4 linked regions of the Lonchura striata genome follow. The main gene of each other region encodes a partner of the protein of the gene in region 2 in a complex. Links are inferred from orthologs where the notes say so. Each region holds a gene or a part of one and is shown on either strand. Other genes may lie near its edges.

What was found.
Region 1: the proteins of SRSF1 (region 2) and TNPO3 are in contact, whole or in part, in a crystal structure (PDB 4C0O), measured with the Homo sapiens proteins. The link is inferred for Lonchura striata from reciprocal best matches to the Homo sapiens genes SRSF1 and TNPO3. Residues at the interface, in NP_008855.1 of Homo sapiens: Ser116, Arg117, Arg118, Ser133, Trp134, Gln135, Lys138, Asp139, Arg142, Glu143, Gly145, Asp146, Cys148, Tyr149, Ala150, Asp151, Val152, Tyr153, Arg154, Val172, Arg173, Asp176, Asn177, Arg181, His183, Tyr189, Ile190, Arg191, Arg198, Pro200; in NP_036602.1 of Homo sapiens: His155, Arg157, Arg160, Thr167, Tyr254, Ile256, Glu257, Glu304, Glu340, Ile341, Phe343, Asn344, Tyr347, Arg348, Glu351, His352, Lys355, Thr356, Arg620, Asn656, Glu660, Arg661, Arg664, Arg667, Phe668, Arg671, Ser698, Cys699, Tyr702, Ile706.
Region 3: SRSF1 (region 2) and PA2G4 share a complex: the UniProt entries of both Homo sapiens proteins name them as parts of the ribonucleoprotein complex. The link is inferred for Lonchura striata from reciprocal best matches to the Homo sapiens genes SRSF1 and PA2G4.
Region 4: SRSF1 (region 2) and ARVCF share a complex: the UniProt entries of both Homo sapiens proteins name them as parts of the ribonucleoprotein complex. The link is inferred for Lonchura striata from reciprocal best matches to the Homo sapiens genes SRSF1 and ARVCF.

Annotation. Positions count from the first base shown.
Region 1 is NC_134607.1:73,051,134-73,058,350, forward strand, and holds the start of TNPO3 (transportin-3), read left to right. Parts: upstream 1-4,138; 5' UTR 4,139-4,183; coding exon 4,184-4,309; intron 4,310-7,217. UniProt on the Homo sapiens protein: Importin, which transports target proteins into the nucleus. Specifically mediates the nuclear import of splicing factor serine/arginine (SR) proteins, such as RBM4, SFRS1 and SFRS2, by recognizing phosphorylated SR domains.
Region 2 is NC_134622.1:10,652,136-10,659,140, reverse strand, and holds SRSF1 (serine/arginine-rich splicing factor 1), read right to left. Parts: upstream 2,033-7,005; 5' UTR 1,896-2,032; coding exon 1,702-1,895; intron 1,536-1,701; coding exon 1,351-1,535; intron 1,144-1,350; coding exon 971-1,143; intron 716-970; coding exon 521-715; 3' UTR 503-520; downstream 1-502. UniProt on the Homo sapiens protein: Plays a role in preventing exon skipping, ensuring the accuracy of splicing and regulating alternative splicing.
Region 3 is NC_134629.1:9,434,124-9,442,233, reverse strand, and holds the start of PA2G4 (proliferation-associated protein 2G4), read right to left. Parts: upstream 3,124-8,110; 5' UTR 2,972-3,123; coding exon 2,884-2,971; intron 1-2,883. Other genes in the region: ERBB3 (receptor tyrosine-protein kinase erbB-3), read right to left, coding at 5,065-5,591, 7,129-7,402. UniProt on the Homo sapiens protein: May play a role in a ERBB3-regulated signal transduction pathway. Seems be involved in growth regulation. Acts a corepressor of the androgen receptor (AR) and is regulated by the ERBB3 ligand neuregulin-1/heregulin (HRG).
Region 4 is NC_134620.1:8,197,136-8,204,218, forward strand, and holds the start of ARVCF (splicing regulator ARVCF), read right to left. Parts: upstream 3,099-7,083; 5' UTR 2,956-3,098; intron 2,829-2,955; exon of another isoform or gene 2,797-2,828; intron 2,714-2,796; exon of another isoform or gene 2,544-2,713; 5' UTR 2,492-2,543; intron 1-2,491. UniProt on the Homo sapiens protein: Contributes to the regulation of alternative splicing of pre-mRNAs.

The sequences.
Region 1 (7,217 bases), on a different chromosome or scaffold from region 2:
TCTGTGGTGCCCGGGAGCATCCCCGGTCACCTGCCTGCACCTCCTCTGCCACCTGCCAAGGGCTGTGCCCGGGCCCTGCCTGCACACCTGGGCCGTCCCTGCACACCCAGGGCATTCCCTGCACACCTGGGCTGTCCCTGCACACCTGGGCTGTCCCCTGCACACCTGGGCCATCCCTGCACACCTGGGCCATCCCTGCACACCTGGGCCATCCCTGCACACCTGGGACATCCTCTGCACACCTGGGCCACCCCTGCACACCTGGGACATCCCTGCACACCTGGGCATCCCCTGCACACCTGGGCTGTCCCCTGCACACCCAGGGCATCCCCTGCACACCTGGTCCATCCTCTGCACACCTGGGCCATCCCTGCACACCCAGGGCATCCCCTGCACACCTGGTCCATCCTCTGCACACCTGGGCCATCCCTGCACACCCAGGGCATCCCCTGCACACCTGGTCCATCCTCTGCACACCTGGGCCATCCCTGCACACCCAGGGCATCCCCTGCACACCTGGGCCATCCCTGCACACCTGGGCCATCCCTGCACACCCAGGGCATCCCCTGCACACCTGGGCCATCCCTGCACACCTGGGCTGTCCCCTGCACACCCAGGGCATCCCCTGCACACTGTACCTGCCCTGCTGGGCTGTGCACGGCCTGCCCATGCTGCCTGCACAGGTGTGGGCCCAGGGAGGGAGTGTGACCCTCCCTGCACACCTGGCAGGGGTGTCACATCCCTGTGCACACCTGGCAGGGGTGTCACACCCCTGTGCACACCTGGCAGGGGTGTGACCGCCTCCACGCACACCTGTGGCCGGTGTGAGGCTGGTCGGGATGCGGCCCCTCCTTGCACACTCGCGTGTCCCCGCTGAGCCACCGCCGTAATCCGCTTTGGGGACAAAGAGGATGAGCTGGGGGGAGGGGGAAGTGACACGGGGGCCACCGAGGGGGAGTGCGGGTGTGAAAATGAGGTGAGGGTGTGTGTGCAGGTGTGTGACCCAGCAGTGACACTGCAGCTGTAGAGGGACTGACCACGAATCATGGAGCTCAGGCCGGGCTGGGCTGGAAAAGACCAGGAGAGGAGCTTGTCCCACACACCTGCCACGGGCACCACCACGAGGGGACGCAGGGGCTGGCCCGGGCGGGGCACAGCGAGCACCGCTGGCCTCAGGAGCCACCTCATCATTACTCAACAGTGACTATGGGGGAAAGGAAATTAAAGGAGTTTTCCCCCAAAATCCATCTCAATCCAGTGCCCCTGCCTGCCGACACATCGGGTCTGACTGCCGGCATCACCTAACCAGGAGCTGAGATGAGGAACAAGGTGGGATCAAGGCCCCAGGAAACCCCCCCATCCCAAAATCCCATGGATTGAGATGAGGAACAAGGTGGGATCAAGGCCCCAGGAAACCCCCCCATCCCAAAATCCCATGGATTGAGATGAGGAACAAGGTGGGATCAAGGCCCCAGGAAACCCCCCCATCCCAAAATCCCATGGATTGAGATGAGGAACAAGGTGGGATCAAGGCCCCAGGAAACCCCCCCAATCCCAAAATCCCATCACAGCTGCAGATGGAGTTTTCTCCCCAGATGTGGGGGCTGGCAGAGCCCCCCTCAGTAGCTGCTCATGTCTATTGTAAATGCAGGTGACCCTGGTAGGAAGAAATTATTATGTTCAGAAGTCTGAATGATTTCTTTAGTATAACTATACTATAATACATTAATATACCATTTAAAGGAGACACTAAAACTACTTACTTTTTTTAACTGCTATATTTAACTAACTTACAACTCGTGCCCCTCTCTGAGTCCAGCCCCAGGTGGGTTGGATTGGCCATCAGGCTCAAACAATCCTCACCAAGCACTCACCCCAGGGAAACAATTCTCCAAGCACATTCCACATGGGAAAACAAGGAGCAGAAACAGAAATGGTTTTCTCTTTCTTCCCTCTGTGCGTCTCTGTAGAAATGCTGAGACAGAAGAAGGTGCCTGGCACACGCGGGTGTCCCCCCCGGCTGTGCCCACGGCGCCTGGCCCCGCGTGGGGCTGGCACTGTGGGGGAGGATTTTGGGGACGTTTGTCCCTGTGCAGGTCGGGCCGATGTCCCCCTGTCCCGCCCGAGGCCCCGTCCCACCCGCTCGCGCCGCGGTGGCTCCTCAGCCGATCCCAAAGTGCAAAAGGCAAACGGCAGGGGAACAGCGGGTTAACCACCACAAGTGCACCTTTACGGGGGGCCAGAACAGCAAATGCCACGGAGGGGACAGAAAAGGGAAATAAAGGACGGAGAGAAAGGGGGGAAGGGGACTAGAGCTACCACTGTCAGGACTAGATCCTCGACGGCCCAGCCACAAGGATTTGCCATCGTCCATGGCGGTGCACCGCAGTCTTCCCAAAAATTAATTTACACGGCCTTTGTCCAAAGCGAGTGGCGCCTGGCCCGGGGGGAGATCCCTGGGGCACTGTGAGGAGCCCGCTGGGCTGTGGAGCAGCTGGGGCACGCAGGACAGGAGCAGCCCTGCCTGCCACAGCTCTGGAACGCGGCGCCCTGTGGAGCACGGGCAGCGCCCTGCACACAGACCCAGCGAGGGTCCCCCTGCCCCCCGATCCTGGCACGGCTGCCCCGGGCTGCCTGCCTGGTGCCTTTCTCCCCGTTCTGCCCTGTTTGTGTGCAACAAAAAGCTTTGCACCTTTAAGGCTCGTTCCAGGAGTGAAGGGGGGGGGAAGGAGCGCAGTTTGTTTTCAAGAGCTGCACTCCCTCCTCCACATTCCTGCTCCTGGACTGAGTGTCTGCAGACAGACAGACAGCGAGACAGAGCTCTCCTTTGCTTTCCTAGCTAGCTTTAGCTAGCTGAGCAAAGCAGTTCCCTGGACTGGGCTGTTTTCCCTTTCTCTGGACTGAACACCAGCAGAGCAGCAGCAGCTCCGGGCCTGGGCCGTGGCATTTCCAGCTCTGCAGGGCCGGATCAGAGACTGAGTGAGCCCAGCTGCAGCCCGGGGGGTTTCTGAGCTTGTCTCTCTCTTGGAGTGGCAAGAAGTTTTATTGTTTAATATTGTTTAGGTTTGCTTGTTTAATAAACAGGTTTTTTCCACTTTTCTCCAAGGAGGTATCTTTCCTGTGAAAAACACCAATCACTTGGTTTTTTAAAATTTTAAAAGTTTAATAATAATAAAATGGTTATAAAAATAGTAATACAATTAGAGTAATAAAGTTTAGAGTTAGGACAATTACAAGACAATAAAAAGCAAAGAATTACAGACATCTGGATGCTCTCGGACACTAAGTCACAAAAAGCATGACTTGTGAACAAAGGAATAACCTTAAAAGCAATAACCTGTTACATATTCATATGTCCTTCATGGTTATGCATATATTCTATTTAAAACAAGAACTCTGTCTGTTGTATGTCAAGTGTTTCCTTTACTCCCCATGGTGTGTTCGAGTCTGAGTAATGCCTGAAGAAATTAGCTTCCTCTGATAAGAAAACCGTAAATTTCTCTTCTCTGGAAGATTTAGGTATTCCTTGAAGCGAGTATCTCATTCCTTAAAAAACCCCTTCACATAGCAGAGTTTCTATTTTAACATCGTGCTGGAACCTGAAACTGTATTTAACACACCGAATACAGCATCACTTTCTGACATGACACATACCATATTCGTTGTAGCATTTGCGAAAAGCCAATCATAAAATACGCATTTTTCACACTGGGGGTCTCTGGAGCCCTGGGGACAGCCCGGAGGTGCCGGGGGGTGCCGGGGGGTGTCGGGGGGTGTCGGGGGTGCCGGGGGGTGCCGGGCCCCACGCCCCGGTTTTTTTGGGGGGGTGGGGCACGGACCCTTCCCGCCGCGCCGGGTGCGCCCGGACACATTTGCCCGCTGCACCGCCGGAAGCTCGCGTTGGGCAGGGCGCGGGGGGGGCGGGGGTGGGACAAACCGTGGCGGGATGGAATGGAATAGGACGGGACGCGATGGAATGGAACGGAACGGGACGGGACGGGTTGGGATGGGATGCGATGCGATGCGATGAGGTGGAAGAGGCGGAACGGGGCGTAGCGGGCAGCGGCGAGGGCGGGCGGCGGAACGGAAGGACGCGGAACGGAAGGCGCAGGGGCGCGTTTCCGGGGGCCGGCCCGGCGCGGAGCGGCGATGGCGGCGGGCGGGCGGCGCTGAGGGACCGGCCATGGAGCGCGGGCCGGGCCGGCCCAGCCTGCAGCTCGTCCAGCAGGCCGTGCAGGCGCTCTACCACGACCCCGACCCCAGCGGCAAGGAGCGGGCGAGCTGCTGGCTGGGCGAGCTGCAGCGCTCGGTGAGAGCCGCGGGCGGCGGGTACCGGGCCCGGCTCGCGGGGAGGCCTCGGGCCCCATCCGGGTGGGGCGGGGCAGGGAACGGCGGCCCCTTGGCGGCCTCGGGGAGCCTCTGCCCCGCCGCCGCCGCTTCCCGCTGCTCTGCGGCTACCCCATTCCTGAGAGCGCTCTGCAGAGGGACCGGGACAAGGCCTGCAGGGACAGGACCCAGGGAATGGCTCCCACTGCCAGAGGGCAGCCATGGATGGGAGATTGGGAATGAGGAATTCCTGGCTGGGCTGGGATTGCCAGAGCAGCTGGGGCTGCCCCTGGATCCCTGGCAGTGCCCAAGGCCAGGCTGGACACTGGGGCTGGAGCAGCCTGGGGCAGTGGGAGGTGTCCCTGCCATGGCAGGGGTGGCACTGGAGGGGCTCTGGGCTCCCTTCCCACCCAAACTGTTCGCCGGTTCCGTGATTAGCACCAGGAACAAGGGGCTGGAACGTTTGGCACAGTGCTGAGGCAGCTGGGAAGGAGGAATTGGCTCCCGGAGGGAAATTTGGGCTTCTTCTGCCGGCCGGGTCAGATCCGTGAGGGGATGGAGCCGAGCCCTCAGGACACACCCCGGGTTTGGGGTGTTGGTCGGTGTTCTCCTGCTGGGGCTGCTCTGTCCCCCTGCCTCAGGGGTGGTGCTTCCCCGCCCGGAGCTGGGCAGTTCCCGCTGTGCTCCCCCTTTCCCCAGGGCCAGGATCCCTGCCCTGGGGCCGGGGAGGAGCTGTGTCCTGGCCCTGCCTGCTCTGGCTGACCCAGCTCTGCCCGGTTCCCTTCCAGCTCCAGCCCCTTCCCGCTCCCTGGCCAGGCTCGCCACTCTTTGTTCCCACAAACTCGTGTTTTCCCATTTCCCCCCGAATTCCTGCAGTGCTGCAGCTCCCATCAGAGTTCCCAAGGGACTGTCCACGGCTGGGTCTGGGGGCTCTGCTGCTGCTCCCCCCATTTCCCCGGGGCAGAAGCAAGATCTCGAGGCAGCTGGAGGAGGGGCATTCACATTTCAGGGCTGGGTCCTGTCCCGGGCCCCAGGATTGCTGTTGGGTAAAGAGGTGTTCCAGGTCAGGCTCCCCATCCCCTGCAGAGTTTGGGTTTTGGGGGCTGATCTGTATTCCCCAGTATCTGGGAATCTGGGGGGGTCTCTGCTGCAGTTCCTCGGGCTTTTCCCTGGGCTCTTTCTGATAGAACATTAGCAGTAATAACAGCAATAATAATAATAATAATAATAATAATAATAATAATAAAAACAGCAATAACAACGTTGTTACTGACTCAGCTCAGCCCCAGGGCAGCAGCAGTCCTGCCTCTCCCCTTCTGCTGGGTCATTCCCCCTGCTTCTCTCTGAGCTCTGAGCTGCTCCCAGAAGGAACCCCACTTATTCCTGGGGTGTTCAGGCCCAGCCTGGCTCCATCCAGCGCCTCCCTCTGCTCGGAGCTGCTGAGTTCCCCCAGCCCTGCACAACTGGAGCTCCCTGGTGTGGGCTGGCAGCGTGGGATGCTCCAGGGGACCCTGCCCGGCTTGGGGTCACGGTGACCCTGGTGGGACAGGAGTCACTGTGGCCCTGGTGGCCCTGGCTGGGTGCAGCTCTTTGTCCCTCAGTGTCCCCGTGCCCTGGTCTGGATGGAGGCACTGGCATTAACCCCCCAAGGAGTGTTTGCTTGGATCCCGTTCTGTGCCCAGCCGTGTCCCTGCAGTGCCACCCGTCACGGGCTGTTTGCTGGCACCCCTGGGCTGTCCATGCCCTGCTGGGCTGTGTCACGTTTGCCTCTGCTGGGACGAGCTCTCAGGGTAGGGTTCCCACTGGCTTTTGCCTTTCTGGGGTTGTAATCACAGAATCCTGGGATGGCTGGGTGGGAAGGGACCCCAGAGCCCCTCCAGTGCCACCCCTGCCACGGCAGGGACACCTCCCACTGCCCCAGGCTGCTCCAGCCCCAGTGTCCAGCCTGGCCTTGGGCACTTGTAGGGGCAGTTTGGCTGACTGGGAGTGGGGACAGGGAAATCCTGGGAGCAGGGAGATCCTATTTGGAACAGCGAGATCCTTGGCTGCAGGTGCAGTTTGGGTGACTGGGATCAGGGACAGGGAGATCCCAGGGTCAGGGAGATCTGGGAACCTGCAGATCTGTGGCTGTGGGTGCAGTTTGGGTGACTGGAATCAGGGACAGGGAGATCCCAGGAACAGGGAGATCTGGGAACCTGCAGATCTGTGGCTGTGGGTGCAGTTTGGGTGGCTGGGAGCGGCGCTGCCCCAGCCCTGTGGGCACAGCTGTGAGGAGCAGGTGAGCAGCACTGCCAGCTCTGAGCCGGGCAGTGCCCGGGGTGCTGAGCAGCACTGCCAGCTCTGAGCCACACAGTGCCAGGGGTGCTGAGCAGCACTGCCAACTCTGAGCCAGGCAGTGCCCAGGGGTGCTGAGCAGCCTCACAGGGAGCAGAGGGCACACAGGTGCACTGCATGAACATGGGGGGATAAAAGGGGGTGAAGAACAACAAGGGCACGTGCTTGGAGCCTTCTGAGGTGGTGTGGTGTCACTGTGTGGGTTGAAGCCGTCTGAAATTGTATCTGTGGGATACATCCCATCGTAGGGATGAGAAGGCAAAACCTGCAGTGGAGTTTGGGTGCCTGGATCACTCTGTGGGGGTTCAGGTTTGGCACTGGGCACCCCCAAACCTAAGGGAGATCCCTGCAGTTCCCATCCCTGGTATCTCTGGCAGGACGTGGGTTCAGGTTTGGCTCTGGAGGGCCCTGGGGGCTCAGGTGTGTCCCTCAGCTCCCCCAGCTGCCTCGTTCTGGCCTTTGCTGCTGGTTATTCCTGGGAAATGGGGCCGGACGTGGCAGAGCAGCTCCGAGCCTGCAGAGCACCGGGGAGCTCAGCTGAAGGTGCAAGTTGACCT
Region 2 (7,005 bases):
CCTCCATTATTGATCTGATCCTCCTCAATCCTCCTTTTGACAATCCTAAAATGATTGACATGTGCTCCACAATCCTTTAATCCAAAGCATTCTTAATCCATCTCTTCAGATATGTCTACAGAAAGACACACGAAAAGGCAAGATAAAATGTAAGATCCCCCAGAAGAGACAAGTTAGCCACAAACATCCCAACATCCCCAGCTCGTCTCGACCACAGCGGAACACTGAGACATTTACACAGCAATACCACGGCTCCAAGAATGTTGGTATCGAACTAGAACTAAACCAGAACAATCCTGACTGACAGCAATTAAAATACAATTTACCAAAGACAGGAGGGGAATGTCGGTGTCCAGGAGCAAATACTCACTAGGGATTTTACACAAGAATGCAATTCAACACTTCAGCCAATTCGAGTAAAACAGTTGGAATTTGAAAAAAAAAATGAAAGACTGTACTAAGTAAAGGAAAACTGTGTACAACATGGGGTTCTACAAAAAGATCAGAGCTAGAGTGATGTTTATGTACGAGATCGGGATCTGCTGTGGCGGGGAGAGTAGCGTGGAGATCCTCTGCTTCTTCTTGGGGAATAACTGCGGCTTCTGCTGTTGCTGCGACTACGGCTCCTGCTACGACTACGGCTGCGGGACCGAGATCTTCCATAGCTTGGGCTTCTTGGGCCATCAACTTTAACACGGATGTAGGCAGTTTCTCCCTATTGGATAGACAGAACTTTCGATTGACACGTCGAGGCTTCAGGGCCATGTTTCAGGCATGCTGACAGACTGCAGACAGTGCTACTATGGCCGGGACACACAGCAGAGCTTACACGTCTATGTCCGGCCTGACCACACACTCACTTAGCTGCCTCCTAACCAAACAGCGACCACCACGCGTTCCTTACCTTCAAATCCTACTGTTAAGCCCCTTGTATCCAATTCTGGCCAAAGAGAATAAGTGTGATACCTACCTCGTGAGATCTAAATTTAGTGTTATCCAGCTTTCGCACAGCGTAGGTCATGTCTTCCTTCCGCACAAACTCCACGACACCAGTGCCATCTCGGAAAACATCAGCATAACATACATCACCTGCTTCACGCATGTGATCCTTTAAATCCTGCCAACTTCCACTTGGAGGCAGCCCTAGGGAAAAACCAAAACGTGACTTTAAAACCGGATTAGAGCCTCACCTCCTGTACTGCAGCAGCAGAGCAGAGGAGCGCTCAGCATCGCGGGGACACCAAAGCACACGGGGCCATGCTTTTTAAGGAGATGCTGGCAGCAGCACCGCGCCTGCAGGACCCCGGGGGAGCGCTTACGCTAAGAGAGAAAGAGAGAGCAATGACTCACCCGAGACGATCACTCTGTACTCCGAGCGCCGGGACGGCGGGCCGTACCTGCCCCGGGGGGCTCCTCCGCCCCCGCCGCCCCCGCCGCCTCTGCCGGTGCCGCGGCCGCTCCGAGGGAACTCCACGCGGAGGCGATACCCATCGTAGTCGTAGCCGTCCCGCCCGTAGACGGCGTCCTCCGCGTCCCTGCGGGCGGCACGGGGCGGGCGGTGAGCGCGGCCGCCGCACCCCCGCCCGCCTTTGTTCGCGCCGCCCGCCCGCCGCTCCCCGCCGGGCCCCGCCACCGCGGCCCGCTGCTCCCGGGGGGCTCCGGGCAGCCCGGGGGGCCAGCGCAGCGCCGGAGGGGGCTCACCTGGGGTCCTCGAACTCGACGAAAGCGAAGGGCGGGCCCCCGCGGCGGTTCTTCAAGTCGATGTCGCGGATGGCGCCGTACTTGTAAAACACGTCCTCGATGTCCTTGGTGCGGATGTCGGGGGGCAGGTTCCCCACGTAGATGCGGCAGTCGTTGTTGCCGGCCGGGCCGCGGATGACGCCGCCGCCGGACATGGCGAGGTCGGCAATGTTGGCGGCGGTGCGGGGCCGGGCCGGGCTCTCGGGGCGCTCCGCCTCACCTCACCGCCGAGCGCCGCTCCAAAATGGCGCCCGCGCCTCCGCTCGCGCGGCCTCTGCGCGCACCGATCCCACCGCGGGCCGCACCACCGGCCGCAGCACCGCCCGCAGCAACGGCGGCTCAGCGGAGCGCGCGCGCGTCTTCCGCCGCGCCCTCAGCCTCCCGCCGCGCGCATGCGCGGTTCCGCCACAAAGTAGTCCCTCGGTTCTTGCCGCCGCGGAGAAGCCGAGTCCGTACGGGGGTCTCGAGGCTGCGGGAGTTCCGTTATACCGTGCGGAGACTGCGGTCCCCGCGGCATATAAAAGACGCTCCTCCCGGTAGCGGCTCAAACGGCGGAGGCCGCTGGCGTCACGTCCGGTGCGGCTCCCCGCGCCTTTAGGCCCGGCCGGGGAGGGCGCGGCCCAGAATGCACCGCGCGGGACGGCGGGCGCGCTTGGCGCCAAGAGCGGGCGCGGCCCACAATGCACCGCGGCGCGGCGGGGCCCGCTCTGCCCTCATGGCCGCGGCTGCGAGCCCGGCTCTGCCTCTGCCCTGTGCCCGGCTGCGAGCCCGGCTCTGCTCTGTGCTGTGCCCGCCTGTGTGCCCGGCTCTGTCCCCACTTCTGTTCCCGCCGTGCCCGGTTCTGTGCCCAGCTCTGTCCCCCGAAGTGGAAGGGCAGTGTTACAGGCACATTCTTCTCTCTCCCAGGATTTTTCATAGGGGAGCACAGAGGAAAGAGAGAGAAAACAATTTCTATTTCTGCTCCTTGTTTTTCCCAGGTGGAATGTGTTTGGAGAATTGTTTACCTGGGGTGATTGGTTTGATTCAGGTGAGGATTGTTTGAGCCTGATGGCCAATCCAACCCACCTGGGGCTGGGCTCTCAGAGAGGGGCACGAGTTATGAGTGAGTTATATGGGACTTAGAAAAAGTAGGTTTGTAGTTTTAGTATCTCCTTTAAATAGTATATTAATGTATTGTAGTATAGTTATAATAAAGAAATCATTCAGCGCTCTGAACTGGAGGCAGACATCAGCATTTTTTCCCAGTGGGTTCACCTGCACTTACAATAGGGCAGCATGTCTCTGCCCCAAGGTTTTTAAGGAGAAATGTCCATGTTGGATTGCCAAGGGTGGGAGAGCCCATCTTCACAAGGGCAAAGGGTAAATTCCCGACTGCCTGGCCATGTTCTGCATCTGTGACAGAGTCTGAGGTTTCACAGTTCTCTCTGCAGTGGGGCACAACGCCTGTCGTGAATCTGTGTAACCTCAGGGGGTGATTTGGGGCAGATAATGGGCTTTGAAGATTGAACAAGCTGCTCACAATTTAACAAGCTGTTTGGTTATTTGCCAGCTCACCAGAAACACTTCATGGAGTTCCCATGCCTGGAGGTGCCCAAGGAGTGGCAGGACTGGCACTCAGTGGTGATGGGCCCAGGATTGGACTCAGTGGTCTTGGAGGTCTTTTCCAAACTACGATTCAGGGATTCTGTGATCCCTGGCAGTGCCCCAGGCCAGGCTGGATGGGCTTGGAGCAGCCTGGGACAGTGGGAGGTGTCCCTGCCATGGCATGGATGAGCTTTAAGGCCCCTCCCAGCCCAAACCTTTTTGTGATATTAAAAAAACCTAACAAGTCCTCTTGCCACCAAAAAACAACCCCACAAAGATCCTGATTATGCTTTTCCCAGGTGTAGGGAAACTCCATCCCTTGCCAAGAAATGAGTCTCTGTTTTCAAAAACTCATTAAAACCACTGAAAGTTATTCTTAAAGGCATCATGAACCAATGGTAACTCTGCCTGCTTTGTGTAAACCCCATTGCATAATTTCTTTTGTGTCTTAATAATCCTCATAACTGCTCTAAATGATTCTCTTAATTACCTTAATGAAGTGTCTCTTTATAGCAGTATTAGATGTTTTCTTCCTCATCACTTTCCTTAGGTCTGTGTTATCACTGGAGTGTTCAGTTGGAGATGCTGCACAATACTTATTTCTCAGAGTCAGTTTTGGCTCTCTAGCAAAACACATATGTGGGGAATTAATAAGTTATGTAGAAAATAAATTACTGGGAAGGCAAGGCAAATAATCTTGCTGAAAAAAAGAAGCCAACTACTCAAAAATGACAAGTTTTTGTCCTCAAAATGGGAGCAATGGAAACGAGGGCTTTCCAAGGGAGAATAATGCAGATATTAGGCACATAACATCATTGCTTATTGTTATTCCTGCTGAAACTTGGGAGGCAGGAGGTTTCCCAGGCAGAGCTGCAGGGCTGGGGCTGTGGCCTGTCATCGCCCAGCTCTGTCACACAGAACCTGTTTGTCCTAATCCTTGCTACAGAGCATCCAGCTGGATTAGTCCTGACTAATCTTACTGTGTTGCAAAATAACAGTTCATCAAAGCCCAGATTGTCTGGGAGAAAAGGGTCGGTTTTTAAGAGGCATCTGAAGTAATTTTTTTTTTTTTTTTTTTTGAGATCTGAGCAATGAACTGTCCAAACTTGTAATTTCCCTCTGGTAACTGTCCTTTGGAATCTGCTGCTGGAGGGGTTTCCTTGGCATTGCACCAGGAACTTGAAACCACACAGGTTGTGCCTTTGGAGTGAAATACAAAGCTGATACTTTGGGGGTGTGTGTGTGTGTGTGTGTCCATTTTAAACAGTGCTTCCAGGTGATCAAACTTACTGTTTTGCATGTAGGAAAAAAAAAAAAAAAATCCAAAAATACCAGTCTGACTTTTTCAGAGAAACTCTGAGCTTAAGATAAGACAAGGAAAGTGTGTGTAAGCTTGAAAATAATTCCCACAGCAGTGGATGGTGACAGCTTGTTTTATTTATGCAGATTTAACTGCAAGCAAAGAGATTTCCTCTGCACATGCTGGGGCATGTCTGGATGCAAACAGAAAACACAGCACACTGCCAGTGGGAATTTTTCCTGGAAGCCAGCCCAAAAGGACACACACAGGTGGGGACTTAAAGGAGAAAAGCCAGACGAGCAGAGGTAGCACCACCACAATTCAAATCGTCCCAGGGGGATTGGGAATGCTCATTTTTTAAATTTCCAAAACCCTGCTGTTTTTCCTTTCTGAGAACAGCCACACCCCATGATGTGCTCAGATCCCAGGTCCCTGGAGCACAGTGAGGGGGCACAGGGAAGCAGAATCAGTTAAATTGTACGTGTTTATTTGTTGGGCTGGTAGCAATAAAAGGTTAATTTTTAAATATTAAAAATAATAAAATTGTTTGGTTTGCTGTGATTTCTGCTGTCTTGTTTTCACGTTACTTGGATTTGCAGTGATTCCCACATGCCAGCACACCATGGCTGGGGCTGGGAGGGAAAGGGGCAGCAGTTAGCACAGACCAGAATTTTCAGTGAGCCCCCCCAGTCCATTTTCATGGATTTATTTCTCTGGGAAGACATTTCTGTTTATCCAGAGCTCTGCCATTGCTCCCTGCCTCCCACTGTCACCGAATATTGTGGCAGCTGCTTGCATTGCTCTTCCCTCTCCCTGCCTGGTGGGATGCTCCAAGGCCTGACGAGGAGAGGGAGGAAAATAAATGCAAGCTGTCAATGTAAATAAACCTGCTAACAGTCATTGCTGCTAAGGAATAAATAAGCGGAAAGGAGCGAATCCATTTGGGTCGCTCACTCCAGAGGGAACCTCGCGGTTTGGCGGGGACTGGGCAGCGAGGCTTTTCCTGCAGCTGCTCCTTTTCCTTTTGCTGTTGCTATTTTCCTGGAGTTTGCTCCTTTCTGCTGGAGGCATTCCCACACTCCAGGTGCGTGGCACACAGCTGGCTGAGCCATCCACGCCGGGATCCGCTGGGCAGCCGCGGCCGGAGCGGCACAGCTCCGGCAGCGGAGCTCACCGGCCCCTCCTGGCACTTCCCTTCCCAGCTCTTGTGCTCCAGCTGGGAGTGGGCAGTGCCATCCTGACACAGGGAACTGAAACGCTGTTTGTAAATTCGAGGTGATGATCACTTCTTATCTGGCGTGTGGCGTCTGTCACCATCCCTGCCAGGACACCGCAGGGCCACAGACACATCCCAGGGGTGTCTCTGGACGGGCCGTGCCACCCAGCCAAGCCTTGGGAGCGTGGACAGAGCTGCATCTCTTGGTTCTCCAGAAAGAACCCAAATGTGCCAGGCCTGGGTGGTTTTTAAAAGGTTTTCCATTAGCTTTGCGTGGAGAGCCGCTGGCAGCGCTGCCGATGTCCCCGCTGCCTCCCCGACTCGGGGCTTTCAGCACCACGCGGCCCCTCTGGCATCACTGAGGGTCTGCTGATTTTATTTAACACGAGGAACTACAACGAGAGAGAAATGCATTAAGATTGGTTTCAAGCAGACTATTTTAAAATACAAATAAAGTTTTTGGAGCTGTTTTGTGGGCGCTGTAACTTTATGTAAACACTGGAGGAGGCGAAGGACTGTGATAACCATGTGAAACAAAAACTCACAGAGACCAGGGTGGGAGGGACGCTGAGCCATATATTTTTCCTGTTGGAGCTCAATGAAAGGCAAATAAACGAGGAAAAATAAACTCAATGTTTACAAAAGGGCCAGCGTGGGATCAGCTGCCAAGGTTTGCTGATCCCAGTGCCCAGGTACTGCTGAAAGGATTCTGCTTCCACTGGAAATCCTGTTCCACAGCATTTTATTATCCAGACATTCCTAATCTAGGAAACCTCATGGTTCATATCCCACTAATTCTTAAGGAGAAGGATGCAAAGTAAGTGCTTTTAAATGAGCAGGTTAAAAGATGTGTCAGAAATTAGGAGCGGGGCCCCAGCAGCGGCTGTTCCATGCTCTGCTCTGCAATGCAAATGCATTTGATTTATGTATAATGCTGCACTTGCTGTACCACTGTAGCCCAACTAAAACATGAAATATAACCCCTTTTTTTTCCTTTTCCTAGTAGGCCTTTTAGGTGCAGTTTCTTGAGGGCAGTAAATAGGAATATCAGGCCTTTGCCAGCTGTGTCATTTAGAGCATGAAAGATGGATACAAATTTGATCATTTTCCAAGAAGCAGTATTTTTATCCTCTGAAACACACGTGAGAAAGAAAGGACCCACAGA
Region 3 (8,110 bases), on a different chromosome or scaffold from region 2:
ATTCTGGAATGGGATCCAAAACTATCCTGGAATGGGATCCCGAAATATCCCGGGATGCTGGGATGAGATCCTAAAATATTCTGGAATGGGACCCCAAAATATCCTGGGATGCTGGGATGGGATCCTGAAATATTCTGGGATTCCAAAATATTCTGGGATCTGGGATGGGATCACAAAATATCCTGGGATGGGATCCCAAAATATCCTGGGATGCTGGGATGGGATCCTGAAATATTCTGGGATGGGATCCCAAAATATTCTGGGATCTGGGATGGGATCCTGAAATATTCTGGGATGGGATCCCAAAATATCCTGGGATGCTGGGATGGGATCCTGAAATATTCTGGGATTCCAAAATATTCTGGGATCTGGGATGGGATCACAAAATATCCTGGGATTCTGGGATAGGATCCCAAAATATCCTGGGATGGGATCCCAAAATATCCTGGAATGGGATCCCAAAATATCCTGGAATGGGATCCCAAAATATCCTGGAATGGGATCCCAAAATATCCTGGGATGGGATCCCAAAATATCCTGGGATGGGATCCCAAAATATCCTGGGATGGGATCCCAAAATATCCTGGAATGGGATCCCAAAATATCCTGGAATGGGATCCCAAAATATCCTGGGATTCTGGGATGGGATCCCAAAATATTCTGGAATGAGGTCCCCAAAATATCCTGGGATCCTTCAATGGGATCCCAGGATGGGATCCCAAAATATCCTGGAATGGGATCCCGAAATATCCTGGAATGGGATCCCAAAATATCCTGGGATGGGATCCCGAAAAATCCCGGGATGTGACCCCAAAATATCCCGGGATCCTGGAATGTCCCCTCTGTTCCCCTCTGTCCCACCTTCCTCAGGATTCCAAGGAATCCTCGGGAATTCTGCGGCCCTGTCACCTGTGCGAGGCCTTCAAATTCCAGCCCCTTTTTCCACGGGAAAGTTGGGAACATTTGAAAGCACGGATAACATTCCCGATAAGAGGCGGCGGCACACGGAGCGGGGAATAAAACATAAATTAAAAAAAAATAAAATAAAAGCAGATAAAGGTGGAAAACCCTCGGAGCATTCCAAGAGATCAGAGGAACAGGAACATTCCTGGAATCCCTCCCTCCTTCCCCATGTTTTTTAGGGAGTTAAGGCACTTTTTATCCCTAAAAAAAACGATTTTTATCCCTAGAAAACCGAATTTTAACCCTAAAAAACCGATTTTTACCCCTAAAAAACCGGTTTTTGGCCGGGTTTTGCTCCGTGGAGCGGAGCTGCCGTTGCCCCCGGGAAGGGAGGCGGCCGAGTTTCCAGTTCTCCCGGGAGCCCGAAGGGAATCCCGGCTCCGCAATCCCCGAATCCCCTCCCGGGCCACCGGCGCCGGTTCCACAGAAGCGCTGGAGTCAGCGGGAAGCGGCGTGGGACACCGGGGAGCCCCGCGGAACCGGTCCGGGCGGCTTCCCGGAGCCGGGACACCGGCAGCGAGGGGAAAGAACGGGAAAGGGAGGGAGCGGGGCGGCTGGAGCCCCGGGACCGGGACCGGACCCGTGCCCGGGACAGGATCCACAACCTGACCGGGACAGGAGCCCCGGGACCGGGACCGGACCCGTGCCCGGTACCGAACCCACAACCTGACCGGGACAGGAGCCCCGGGACCGGGACCGGACCCGTGCCCTGGACTGGATCCATGTCCTGGACCGGGACAGGAGCCCCGGGACCGGGACCGGGACCGGGACCGGGACCGGACCCGTGCCCGGTACCGAACCCACAACCTGACCGGGACAGGAGCCCCGGGACCGGACCCGTGCCCGGTACCGAACCCACAACCTGACCGGGACAGGAGCCCCGGGACCGGGACCGGACCCTGTTCCCGGTACCGGACCCCGCGCCCGGGACAGGATCCACAACCTGACCGGGACAGGATCCCCGTTCCCGGGACAGGATCCCCAGACCGGTTCGGGACCCCATTCCCAGAACCGGACCCCGTCCCCAGAACCGGACCCCGTTCCCGGGACAGGATCCCGTTCCCAGAACCGGACCGCAATTCCCAGAACCGGACCCCATTCCCAGTACCGGACCCCATTCCCAATACCGGACCCCATTCCCAATACCGGACCCCATTCCCAGTACCGGACCCCATTCCCAGTACCGGACCCCATTCCCAGTACCGGACCCCATTCCCAATACCGGACCCCAATTCCCAGAACCGGACCCCATCCCCAGAACCGGACCCCATCCCCAGAACCGGACCCCGTTCCTGGGACAGGATCCCGTTCCCAATACCGGACCCCGTTCCCAGTACCGGACCCCATTCCCAGAACCGGACCCCGTTCCCAGAACCGGACCCCATTCCCAGTACCGGACCCCATCCCCAGTACCGGACCCCATTCCCAGAACCGGACCCCGTCCCCAGAACCGGACCCCGTTCCCGGGTCAGCCCCCACCCCCCAAACCCAGCCAGGGCCGCCCCCCCGGGACTCCCGTCCCGCTCCCATCCCGTCCCGGCGCTAACCGGGACCGGAGAGGAGCCCCGGTCCGTGGGGGGGTCCCACCGGAACAAAAGCGGCACCGGGAGGGTCCGGGGCACGGCAGGCCCGGCCCGGCCCCGCTCCCCGCGCCGCCGGTGCACGTGGGGCGCGGTACCACGTGCGGGCGGCGGCGGCGGCGGCGGCGCGGGGCCGGGCCCCGCCGGCACCGGGAGGGCACCGAGCCCCGGGGGGGTCCCACCGGGACACGCGGGGGGGTCCCAGCCCCGAACAGCCCACCGGACCCCCGAACCCGGGGCTCTCCCACCGGCGGGGGTCGCCCGGTCCCACCCGCTCCCCCCCCCCCCCCCCCCCCGCCGTTCCCCCCCCCCCCCCGCACCGACCGCGGCCCGCACTCACGGTTGGCGATGTCCCCCCCCATCTTGTACTTGGTCACCACCAGGTCCTCGGCGATGGTGAGCTCGGCGGCCTCCTCCTCTCCCGACATGGTGGGAGCCCCCCGGAGCCCTCCCGGTGCCCCCCCGGGCCTGCTGGAGCCGCCCCCCCCCCCCGGTGCTGAGGGAGCCCCGGGACCGCGAGACCGGAGGCGCGAGCAGGGCAGAGCGCGGGCTCCGCGCGGGGCACGCTGGGAACGCCAGGCCTCCACGCCCCCCTGGACTACAACTCCCATCACCCCCCGCGGGCAAACCCAGCCCCCGGACGGGAGCGCGCTGCGCCGCGCCCACCCTCGCGCTGCGGACTGCAACTCCCGGCGTGCAGCGCGGCTCTCGCGAGAAGGGGTGGGGGGGTGAGAGCGGAAGCGGCGCGCGGGGGGCGATGGGGGTTGTAGGCGGAAGTGCCGGTGCGGAATTTCGGTGCCGGGACGCCGCCGGGACCGGTCGTTCTGCTCCTCCCTCTGCCAGCGCTTCCTCGCCACGTTCCTGGGCTCAACCCTGCAGCAACGCTCCCACTCACAGCCCCCAGCCCCGCCGCGCCCGTCCCATTCAACCCCCCCCAACCCCAGCACCGGCACCGCGGCCACACCGGGGCCGGTCCCCGCTCTCGGTCCCCGGTGTTCCCGGACCGTGACACCGGAGCCACCCACCGGCATCACCCCCACGGTCCCAACACCACCGGACACCCCGGTCCGGTGCTCCCCTCGACCCCCGTGACCCCCCCCCAAGCACCGGTACCGGTACCGGCGGCTGCCGGTGTCCCGGAGCCCGGTCCTGGTGTCCCCCCCGGTGTCCCCCCGGTGTCCCCGGTCCAGCCCCTCCGAGGTTTTAACTAAATTCTTTTATTTTCATTTATTTCCATCACGCGCGACCCCCCCCCGGGACCGGGGGCGATCCCTGAACGGGGGTTCCAACCCCCCCCCCCAAAACCGGGAAACCCCCGAAAAACCGGGAGAAACACCCCAAAAACGGGACCCCGGGTGACGTCAGGGGAGGGGGACACCCCAAAAGGGGATCCCGGGGGTCCCTCGTGGGTGGGACACCCCAAAACCTTCACTCAGCAGGGAATGGGGAGCCTGGAAATGAGTCGGGGGTCCTTCAGAAATCCCGTCCGGCACCCGCGGGTGGGGCCAGGGACCCCCAAGGGACCCCCAAAAATTTGGGGAGCACCTTCAGTGAATGGGGGGGGAGGAATCAACGATGGGAGGGGGATCCTGGGAGTCTCCGCTGCCCCCTCCCCACCTGGGCGTGCTCAGTCTCACCCCCCCATCCCTAAAAAAAAACCCAAAAAATCCAAAAAAAAACCCAAAAAAATCAAAGCGAGGAGAAGCCAAAAAAGCGCTGAAACCCCACCTGGGGGGATCCTTCATATCCGATGGGAACCCCCCGAATTTGGGGGGGTTTTGGGGGGTCTCGGGGGCTTAAATCAAGATGGGAGGGGAATCCCGGGGGTCTCCGCTGCCCCCTCCCCACCTGGGCGTGCTCGAGACCCCCCCAAAATAAAACGAAAAAACAAAATACCCCAAAAAAATCAAAGTGAGGAGAGACCGAAAAGGCGCTGAAACCCCACCCGGGGGGGATCCTTCACATCCGATGGGAACCCCCGGAATTTGGGGGAGGGTCTCGGATGGAGGGGGGCGTTCGGGGGTCTCAAGGGCGGAAATCAACGATGGGAGGGGGATCCCGGGGGTCTCCTCTGCCCCCTCCCCACCTGGGCGTGCTCGAGACCCCCCCAAAATAAAACTAAAAAACAAAAATACCCAAAAAAAAATCAAAAATCAAAGCGAGGAGAGACGGAAAAAGGACTCAAACCCCACCCGGGGGGGATCCTTCGCATCCGATGGGAACCCCCCGAATTTGGGGGAGGGTCTCGGATGGAGGGGGACGTTTCGGGGGTCTCAAGGGGGTAAATCAAGATGGGAGGGGAATCCCGGGGGTCTCCGCTGCCCCCTCCCCACCTGGGCGTGCTCAGCCTCAATCCCCGCCCCTAAAAAAAACCCCAAAAAATCAAAAATCAAAGCGAGAAGAGACCGAAAAGGCGCTGAAACCCCACCCGGGGGGGATCCTTCACATCCGATGGGAACCCCCGGAATTTGGGGGAGGGTCTCGCATGCAGGGGGGCGTTCGGGGGTCTCAAGGGGGTCCCCTACGTCCGCCGGGCATCGCTTTTGGCGAAGAGGCGGCTGTGCCAGTAGTCGGGGTTGTCGAAGGCGCAGTCCGACGCTTCCAGGCTCCGCAGCGCCTTCATGGCCGGGGCCCCGCGGCAGCGGCGGGGCCGCGCCACCGCCTCCATCTCCTCGTAGCCCTGCTCGGCCCCGCCGGGGGTCGCGGGGGTCTCGGCCGCTCTCATCTCGGTGTAGCCGTCGTGGCCCGGGGCTCCCGGCACGGCGCACAGCGAGCGGCTGAGCCGCGGTTGTTCGTTCATGTACTCGTAGTTTTCTTCCTCATCTTCATCATCCTCCTGGCGGGGTCCCCCCGGCTGGGGGGCTCCCGGGGGTCCCCCCGGCTCGGGGCTCACCTCCATGTATTCGTAGCCGAGTTCTTCCAGCGAGGCCGGGCGGGGTTGGGGGGGTCCCCGGGATCCCCCCCGTTGTCGGTTCATGTATTCGTATTCTTCCTCCTCCTCCTCCTCTTCCTCCTCCGCCGGTGCCGGTACCGAGCCCGCGGCGGGGTCTGCCGGGGGTGGGGAGGGGGTCACGCACCGGGCAGGGGTCCCCAGGGGTGCCAGAGGGGTTTGGGGGGGCTCGGCTGGGCTCAGAGCAGGGCGAAATGAGGAAAGAGCAGCCCCGGAATTACCGCAGAAACAGGGGGTGCACCCAACACCCCAAAAACGGGGTGGACCCCCACCCCAAAAACGGGGTGGACCCCCACCCCAAAAAACAGGGCATGGACCCCACCCCAAAAAACAAGGCATGGACCCCACCCCAAAAACGGGGTGGACCCCCACCCCAAAAAGAGGGGATGGACCCCCCCAGAGACACATGAACCCCCCAAACTCTGCAGGATGGGACCCCCCCCAAAAACAGGGGATGGACCCCACCCCAAAAACGGGATGGACCCCCACCCCAAAAACGGGGTGGACCCCCACCCCAAAAAACAGGGCATGGACCCCCACCCCAAAAACGGGATGGACCCCCACCCCAAAAACGGAGTGGACTCCCACCCCAAAAAACAGGGCATGGACCCCACCCCAAAAACGGGGTGGACCTCCACCCCAAAAACGGGGTGGGCCCCCACCCCAAAAACGGCGTGGACCCCCACCCCAAAAAACAGGGCATGGACCCCACCCCAAAAACGGGGTGGACCCCCACCCCAAAAAGAGGGGATGGACCCCCCCAGAAACACATGAACCCCTCAAACTCTGCAGGATGGGACCCCCACCCCAAAAATAGGGGTGGACCCCCCCAAAGATACATGAATCGCCCAAAATCTGCAGGATGGGACCCCCACCCAAAAAACAGGATGGAACCCCACAGAAACCTCCAAACCGTGCGGGATGGGACCCCAAAAACAGGGGATGGACCCCCCCCCAGAGACACATGAACCCCCCCAAACTCTGCAGGATGGGACCCCCCCCAGAAACAGGGGATGGACCCCACCCCAAAAATAGGATGGACCGCCCCCAGAGCCACAAGAGACCCCAACCCAAAACCCTGGAGGGATGGGACCCCCAAAGGGACCCCCAAGACAGGGGGAGCCCCAAAACCCGACCCAATGGGATGGAAACCCCCTCCCCAAGACCCCCAGCCCCATTCCAGCGGGATGAGACCCCCACAGGGACCCCCAGGACAGGGGGAGCTCCAAAACCCGTTCAAATGAGATAGAGACCCCCTCCCCAAGACCCCCACTGCCATCCCATCGCGATGGGACCCCCACAAGGACCCCCATGGACAGGGGGAGCCCCAAAACCCGACCCAATGGGATGGAAACCCCCTCCCCAAGACCCCCAGCCCCATTCCAGCCCCACAGAGACCCCCAGGACAGGGGGAGCCCCAAAACCCGACCCAATGAGATGGAAACCCCCTCCCCAAGACCCCCAGCCCCATTCCAGCCCCACAGGGACCCCCAGGACAGGGGGAGCCCCAAAACCCGTTCAAATGGGATGGAAACCCCCTCCCCAAGACCCCCAGCCCCATTCCAGCCCCACAGGGACCCCCAGGACAGGGGGAGCCCCCACTCCCATCGCGATGGGACCCCCGGGCCCCCTCACCGCGGAGGGCGCAGGTGGGGGTCACGTATCCGTCGGGGTCCTCCTCGCTGCCCGGGGAGCCGGGCGGCGGCGGGGCCGGCGGGGCGCGGCTCTCCCGGTGCCCCGGGCCGGCGCCGTCCCCCCGCGGGCGGCGGCCGCGCCCGAGGCTCCCGGCCGGGCCGCCCCCCGCGCCCGGCTCCGGTTCCGAGCCGGCGCCGCGACCCTCGGACGACTCCGACACCGACCGGCCCAGCGAGTCCTGCCGGCCCCGCCGCGGCGGCCGCGAGCCCCCGGGCTGGGGGACACCCCGAGTTCACCGCGGGACCCCCAACCGGCCCCGGACCCCCAACCGGCCCCGGACCCCAACCGGCCCCGGGACCCCAACCGGCCCCGGGACCCCGAGTTCACCGCGGGACCCCCAACCGGCCCCGGGACCCCAACCGGCCCCGGGACCCCCAACCGGCCCCGGGACCCCGAGTTCACCGCGGGACCCCGAGTTCACCGCGGGACCCCCAACCGGCCCCGGGACCCCCAACCGGCCCCGGGACCCCAACCGGCCCCGGGACCCCAACCGGCCCCGGGACCCCGAACCTGTCCAGGGACCCCCAACCGGCCCCGGGACCCCAACCGGCCCCGGGACCCCGAGTTCACCGCGGGACCCCCAACCGGCCCCGGGACCCCAACCGGCCCCGGGACCCCAACCGGCTCCAGGACCCCGAACCCGCCCCGGGACCCCGAACTGGTCATGGGACCCCGAACCCACCCTGGGACCCCCCAGCCTGAGGACAGCAGGGGGATGGTGAGGGGGGACACCCCAAACCTGCCCTGAGCCCCCCAGATCCCCCCGATCCCCCCGATCCCCCCAGATCCCCCCGAGCCCCCCGAGCCCCCCGATCCCCCCGATCCCCCCAGATCCCCCAGATCCCCCAGATCCCCCCGATCCCCCCGAGCCCCCCAGATCCCCCCGATCCCCCAGATCCCCCCGATCCCCCCGAGCCCCCCG
Region 4 (7,083 bases), on a different chromosome or scaffold from region 2:
TGGTTACTGCCTTGCTTCAGCTCACAGGTAGACCACATCCTACCTGAAATTTAAGAAAATCTCCCTGTTCTTATTTTAATGCTTAAACACATGAAACCTCTAATGCCCTTCTGTGAAGAAAATATATTTTGTCAAGTTACATGTGTACTCTAGATGTCTTGCATATCGGAAAGAACTTTTTTCTACAAATAGGTGGATTTTAACCTTTAAAATCTCATTGCTAATTTCCAGAGATACACAGGAAGTCTGAATAAGGTACCTGCATGCAACACATGTGAAATTCCTTCCCTACTTATACTGGTGTAACCTAGAGTTGGCCTTTTCCTCTTTATTTTGTAAAGACAGACAAGAAATTGAAAAAATTTACCAAAGTGCTTTGAAGGTTAACTATGATGGCTATTAGGATGGCACCACACCTGACAGAATACTGTCATACTCTGGTTAAACTGGAAAGACACAAGCCAAATGTAAAATCATACTCAGCTGCTACAGCATTTGTTTACAATGTCTGTGTCAATGATTTATACTCACACAATAAAATATTAAGACCGACAAACTATAAACTTGGTAGCACAAGAATTCTAACAGGTTTTTCTTGCAGTGTATCAATTCTGACAGTACTCAAGATCCACCAAAAGCACTGCAGATATAATGTGTTGCATTACATAAAATCAAGTATAAAAGCTTAGTTTTATATAACTGTAATATGCATACAGATGGTCTTCAGGACAAGATATCTAAACTAAACTACAGTTTGTACAAAATTTGAAGTAGAAGCAAATGGCAGGAATTTTGCCATTTCTAGTACAGTGTCCTAACTCAAAATGGGAAACTCCCTCTATTTGTGGCTCTTGTTGGTTCTTCCAATATTAAAAACTTTCTAATACTGAAATCAACTGCAGAGATTTTGAATTTAATAGACAAAATTCAAAGAAGGGAACTATTTTTCATCTATTTTGGCCAAATAGTACATCAAAACTATAAATTGAAATTCAGTTATTTGACAGCAACTATGGCATAATAATAAAATAAAAAAGTCCACTTTATAAAAATCACCAATGTCAAATAAAATGCAAACTGTGATCTCTGAACAATGCACAAGGATGAACCACGCAGTTAAACTATTGTTCCTGCCTTCCAAATGCATTCCTTTAACCAAGCAATGGAAGATAAACCCATTTGCCTAATAGAGCATATAATTTAAATATTTCAGAGAAGAACTGACAGAGATGCTGCTTAAAATAAATTTAAGAATCATCCATCCAAATACCTTGCAGGATGAAGACCCCAGCATAGTTCACAAGTTATTTTTTCTATACAAACTCCAAACTCTACAGCCCCTGCAGTTACTTTAGTTGCTGTGCATACCCTGTATTACAAACAAACCTTTTCCTTTTCTTCCATAGGAGATTTAATACGAGGCTGCATATTTTCTCTTTTGCAGTGCCTTGCTACACTTCTAAAATCACTAAAATTTCAGATTTTACTATTGCACCATGCAGTGCTACACAATTTTGTAAACAAAATATGTCTAAATTTATGGAGCCTTAAAGGACTACTGTATTCAGCAGATTGCAGTACCTTATCCACAGGAAGTTACAATCAGGCAATGTCTATATTCTGTCATTTAGAAGCAGGATTTTTTAACATAAAGCATTTCCATTAATACAAATCAGGAGGGCTGTTTCCCGCCTCCCCCCGCAAAACTTGTATTTAGGGTTTAAGCTATTGGAACGATAACAGGTCTTCACTTGATAAAAAAAAAAAACAAACAACTTAGAGTTATTTTTTTTAACATGCTATGAATCACGTTTTGCATTGTGACCTACCTAAAGGCACAACAGTACAGCGTAACAAGCAAAGTGCGTGTTTTAAGAATTCCCCCTTTCACACACGAACAAGTGCCTTCATGAAAAAAGGGAAAAAACACGAAAGACAGTCTTTACTATTTCATATTCACTAGAAGTGAACATTTCAAAGAGTTTTTCAACTTCTACAAACGTCAGATTTTAACCGTGGACCTCAATACTGCAGGGAAAGCGAAAATTAAAAAATAACCCCTAACTCTGGCTCTTAAGTGTGTAATGGATATCGCGTGTGTGAAAAAATAGGTTAATTTTGTTTGGTCTTTGCTACAAAGAGATTCATCTCCTATGCATACCACAAATAACCTGAGCAATGACTTCCCTCCATGACACGAGCTGCCCATCATATTGCAGGATTATTACAATGTTGGTTTGTTTAGGGCTTGCTTGTGTGTGTGGCTTGCGTATGTAATTCAGGCATTCGCATACATCAACTCCTCGTTGCGCATCTCACAATAAACTGATGAACGCTGTTAAACCTGAACCAGCAGCCTTTAGCAAACAAAGAAGTCTAGCACGGAATCGTGATGCAAAATCACCCCAAAACGTACTACACCGTGCAAGAACCTCACAGAAAATAGCCCGGCAACCTCATTCATTCCCCCCCAACCCAGCGATCTGCTCACCATCTCCGTCTTTATTTCTCTGTCCTCAGCTTATTTTCCTTGCTGCTAGTGGCTTCAAGGAGGTGGCGCACAAAAAAAAAAAAAAAAAAAAAAAAAAATGTTTAAAAAAAAATAAAAAGGGGCAACCCCCCCAACTCTTCAATACAGCGCTGGGCAGGCGCTGGGCAGCATGTCAGCCCTTGTCTTCCTCTCCCGCCGCCCGCGCAGGAGCCGCTCCGCCGCGCCCGCCCCGCGGGTGCCCGTCCGTCCCCCGCGCGTTCCCCGGGAGAGCGCCCGGGCTGCACCAGCTCCTCCCGCCCGCTCACCCACCGAGGCCGCCGAGTAGTCGGAGCCGGGCTGATTTTCCCCTCCCACCTCCACATTCCTATTTACAAAGGGTATCCAAGACCATCTTTATCCAACGGGGGGTGGGGGAGGAAGGAGGGGGAGGTGGAAATACTCATTAACCCTTTTCTTGCATATACCTTTTCTGCTGTGATTTTTGGAGCACACAGGGGAATTCCCCTTTTCTACAGAGCACATGGGCTCGTTACCATCGGGCCCACGGGGTCCCCGCTCCCGCACTCCGGCTTGGCCGCTGACGGTGCTCCTGAAGTAAAAAGGTCCAAGGGCACGGCTGGAAAACGCGCTCCCTCCCCAAACTACTGCTCGGAAAACAACCGGAGCGGCCCGCGGGGAAACGGGAGCGCACTGCCCGGCCAGCCCATGATGCCACCGCCCGCCCATCTCTCTATTTCTTTATTTATTTTTCCAAGCGGGGCACATTCCTCAACACTCGCACCTGGGAGCAGGAACGCGGGAGGCGTGAGGGGCCGCGCGCCGCGCGCCCGCGCCGCCGACCGTCGCGCGCCGCACGCGAACCAGCGCGCGCCTCCCGCGCCGCGAATTTTCCCATTGGGCGGCGCCGCTGCGATCGCGCCCGGCAACCGGAGCGCCATTGGCGCGGCCCCGCCCCGCCGCCGCGCGCTGCCGGCCGCGCCACGCGCCATTGGCCCGCCGACCTGTCCGTCACATGCGGCGGCCCCGCCCCCGGCGGGCGGCGGGAGGGGCGGCCCCCGCGGGGCGGGAGAGCGGCGCGCCGGCGGCGTGCGCTCCGCGGGAGCGGCGCGGACCGCGCGGTCACCGGGACGCGCCCCCGCCCCGCTGCGCGGCAGCACGGTTCCCGCGCTCGGCAGTGAACGCCGCCCGGCACAGCTCTTCGCCCGGGGCGGCGGGCCCAGCTGGTGGCTGAAATGCTGTGGCAGAGGCCCGTCAGGTGCAGCCAGCCAGGTAATGCTGGCACGCGATCCGCAGGGATTTGTCTGACTTGACCTTCTCGCCGTTTGCAGTGGTCTGTGCGCTGCCGTCGTCGCCTCTCAGCTTAGCCTTCGGTAACCGGAATAGCTTGAGCTTCCTACGCCTCTATTTTATATCGTGGTTTAATTTATGTTCCTCCTTTTAATAATTTCCTGTGGTTTTCCTCCCTCCCTAACCGTGGGTGTCAGAAATGGTGCAGCAATGTCCCTGTGCTGTGGACAAAGACAGTGTCGCTCCCTGTTTCCCTTATATATTCTGTATTTTATACAGTAAATAGTTAGAGTAGTCCATTTTACCACAGTATTATCCTGAGAGGTCACACTGAAATAATAACAACTAAATTCTTTTTTGAGGTACTTTTTGCCATTCTAACCCCTTCTCTGCATTCTTTATTTCCAGATGTATTTCCTTACATTTTATGCTATTAAAAATGCAATTTACTGGACTGGGATGATTTATTGGACACATCAGATGATTTTTGTAGACAATTGTGACTTACCCACTAATTTATTAGGCTACAAAATTTCCTAATAAATATTTTGCATCATCTAGACAATTGGTGGAGGTATTAAACTAGATATGGGCAAGAACCCATCTCTAGAAAATTGTCAGGGTCCCTGATGTCTCCTCTTTAAAGCTGCTTTTTGAGACCTCTCAGGGAAAAGATATTTAATCTATCTAAAGTGTGCTTTATGCATTCGAAATAATGTGCATTCCAGGACTCAAAGAACAAACTCTTTAAACAAATGTCAGGACTAGTTCTCTTTTAGTCTTTGAAACCAACTCAGGACAATTCTACAAGCCCTTAATTAAGCTTCTGCTTGTATTTTAGCTTTTTCCAAGAGAGGTTCTGCCCTGACAGTACCACTCTCTTAAAGTGGATACAGAAGCAGAGCCTGCTTTGGGATCAGTCTATTTGAGTTTGACAAATAATGGGAGCTATACACTGATCCCCTAGGACAAGGTCTAGAAGGGGCAACAATAACCAAGCTAGTTTTGGCAGAACAAAAGGTAGACACAAGAATAAAAGGAAGAGTCAAAATGGCCACCAAATCCATTATTCACAAATTCTTGCAGTGGACTCTTTTTGTGCAGCCTCCTAAAAGGCTTTTTAAATGACTCTGAACTTATTCTTACTTCCCATATGTATTAAAAATAGAAAAAAATCCAGTAAAAAACAGAATTGAATTTTAAGCCTATGGACACTTTTTTCCTCCCACAGATGTGACTGCTGTTGAAGGTATGCAGATTACCATCTGTAGATTTTAAATTAGAATCAAGCATAGAAGCTAAATGATCTTTGGTTACAGTGATGAATCTATACTTCAAGACTCAGAGTGCCAGAAAGTACAATACATTATATTTAATGTGCATGCATTTAACCAATTTCAGTGTTACAGAGATTTGTATAATTTATCTATTTAGTCACCAGATAACTGCTTTAAATAACAACTCTGTACCTGAAAACATTAATACATTCTAGGTTTGTATGTCTCAAGGTAATAACTGCAATCTATTGTGTTTCAGAAGCAGTAGTACAAAGAATGATGATCATACACTCACCCAGTAATTTTCATCAGTAGATCTCAGGAGACCTTGCAAAGGTCAATGTGATCATCCTATTGTTGATGATGGAGAAGGAAAGCATTGAGGTGAACTTGCTCAATGTCATATGCCCGAGCAGTGCTAAACCTGACAATTGACTTCAGGTTTTCTGTATCCAGGATAAAAGGTTTTGCCTGACAAGCCACCTAACACATCTATATACCCCTGGGAATTCTTTTAATTACTGTTTCACATCTTGTGTGTATTGTGTTTATCAGTGTTAGAACTTGGAAGAACACTTCAGGCTTTTATGGTGTTTCCTTACAGGCTTCACTATAAAACATTTTGTAATTTACAGGCTCCACTGAATCCCTCTATTGCCACCCATGAAAAAAAAAGTAATAAATAAAGTTTGAGGTTTTGTTTGAAAAATGAAATAATATTAATATTTCAGTAGAACAAAAAGGTGACACAGCTCCAATCCTAACCCAAATCTGCAGATCTAGGTAAAATTACTAAATGTTTGGTTATCAGTTCTGATCATGCTGTGCTAATAACTGAAAGCAAATTTGATGTTGTCACTTGTGTTTTCCTCAATTCTCAGGAAAGCTGTTCTGGCTGGAATTCATCCCATTGCAAACTCAGGGCTCAGTGACTTTGGGGGCCCTCCTGGAAGCAGAGTCTCTGCTGAAGGTGGTCAGGGGAACATTATCCCACACAGGGCCTTGTTCTGAGGGGTCAGGAGCTGCATCCAAACCCTCTGAGATTGTCAGCAGCCTTGGGTCTGTTTGTCCTCAGAGCTATGAGCACTGTGAAGCTCAGATCAGGCATGTAATGTTTTTATTTCTCCATAGAATCTGCAAGGTGAGGAGAGACCTTAAAGATCATGAAGTCCAACCTCATTAAACACTGTAACATCTATAAACCACTAAACCACATTACCAGACTTAAAGACCTCCAAGGATGGCAGCTCTGCCACTTCTCTGGGCAACCTGTTCCAACACCTGACCACCCTAACAGTGAAAAGCATTTTACTACTACCCGAATTTCTCGTCTCAGCATGAAACCAGATGGGCTGGCAGCAGGCTGAGGCAGCCAAGACGAAGCTCAGGGGCTGGGAGATGACATCCCAATGCTCTGGGGGATGCCGGGCGGTGCCGCACCGGCCCCGCGCACAGCCCAAGGAGGTCCCGGGGCACAGGGAGGGCTCGGTGCCGATCCCGGGGCACAGGGGAGGGCTCGGTGCCGGTCCCGGGGCACAGGGAGGGCTCGGTGCCGGTCCCGGGGCACAGGGAGGGCTCGGTGCCGGGCCCGGGGCACAGGGGAGGGCTCGGTGCCGATCCCGGGGCACAGGGAGAGCTCGGTGCCGGGCCCGGGGCACAGGGAGGGCTCGGTGCCGATCCCGGGGCACAGGGAAAGGTTCGGTGCTGGGCCCCGGGGCACAGGGAGGGCTCGGTGTCGGTCCCGGGGCACAGGGAGGGCTCGGTGCCGATCCCGGGGCACAGGGGAGGGCTCGGTGCCGATCCCGGGGCACAGGGAGGGCTCGGTGCCGATCCCGGGGCACAGGGAGGGCTCGGTGCCGGGCCCGGGGCACAGGGAGGGCTCGGTGCCGGTGCCGGGGCACAGGGGAGGGCTCGGTGTCGGGTCCCGGGGCACAGGGAAGGGCTCGGTGCTGGTGCCGGGGCACAGGGGGAAGGCTGGGTGTCGGTCCCGGGGCACAGGGAGGGCTCGGTGCCGGTCCCGGGGCACAG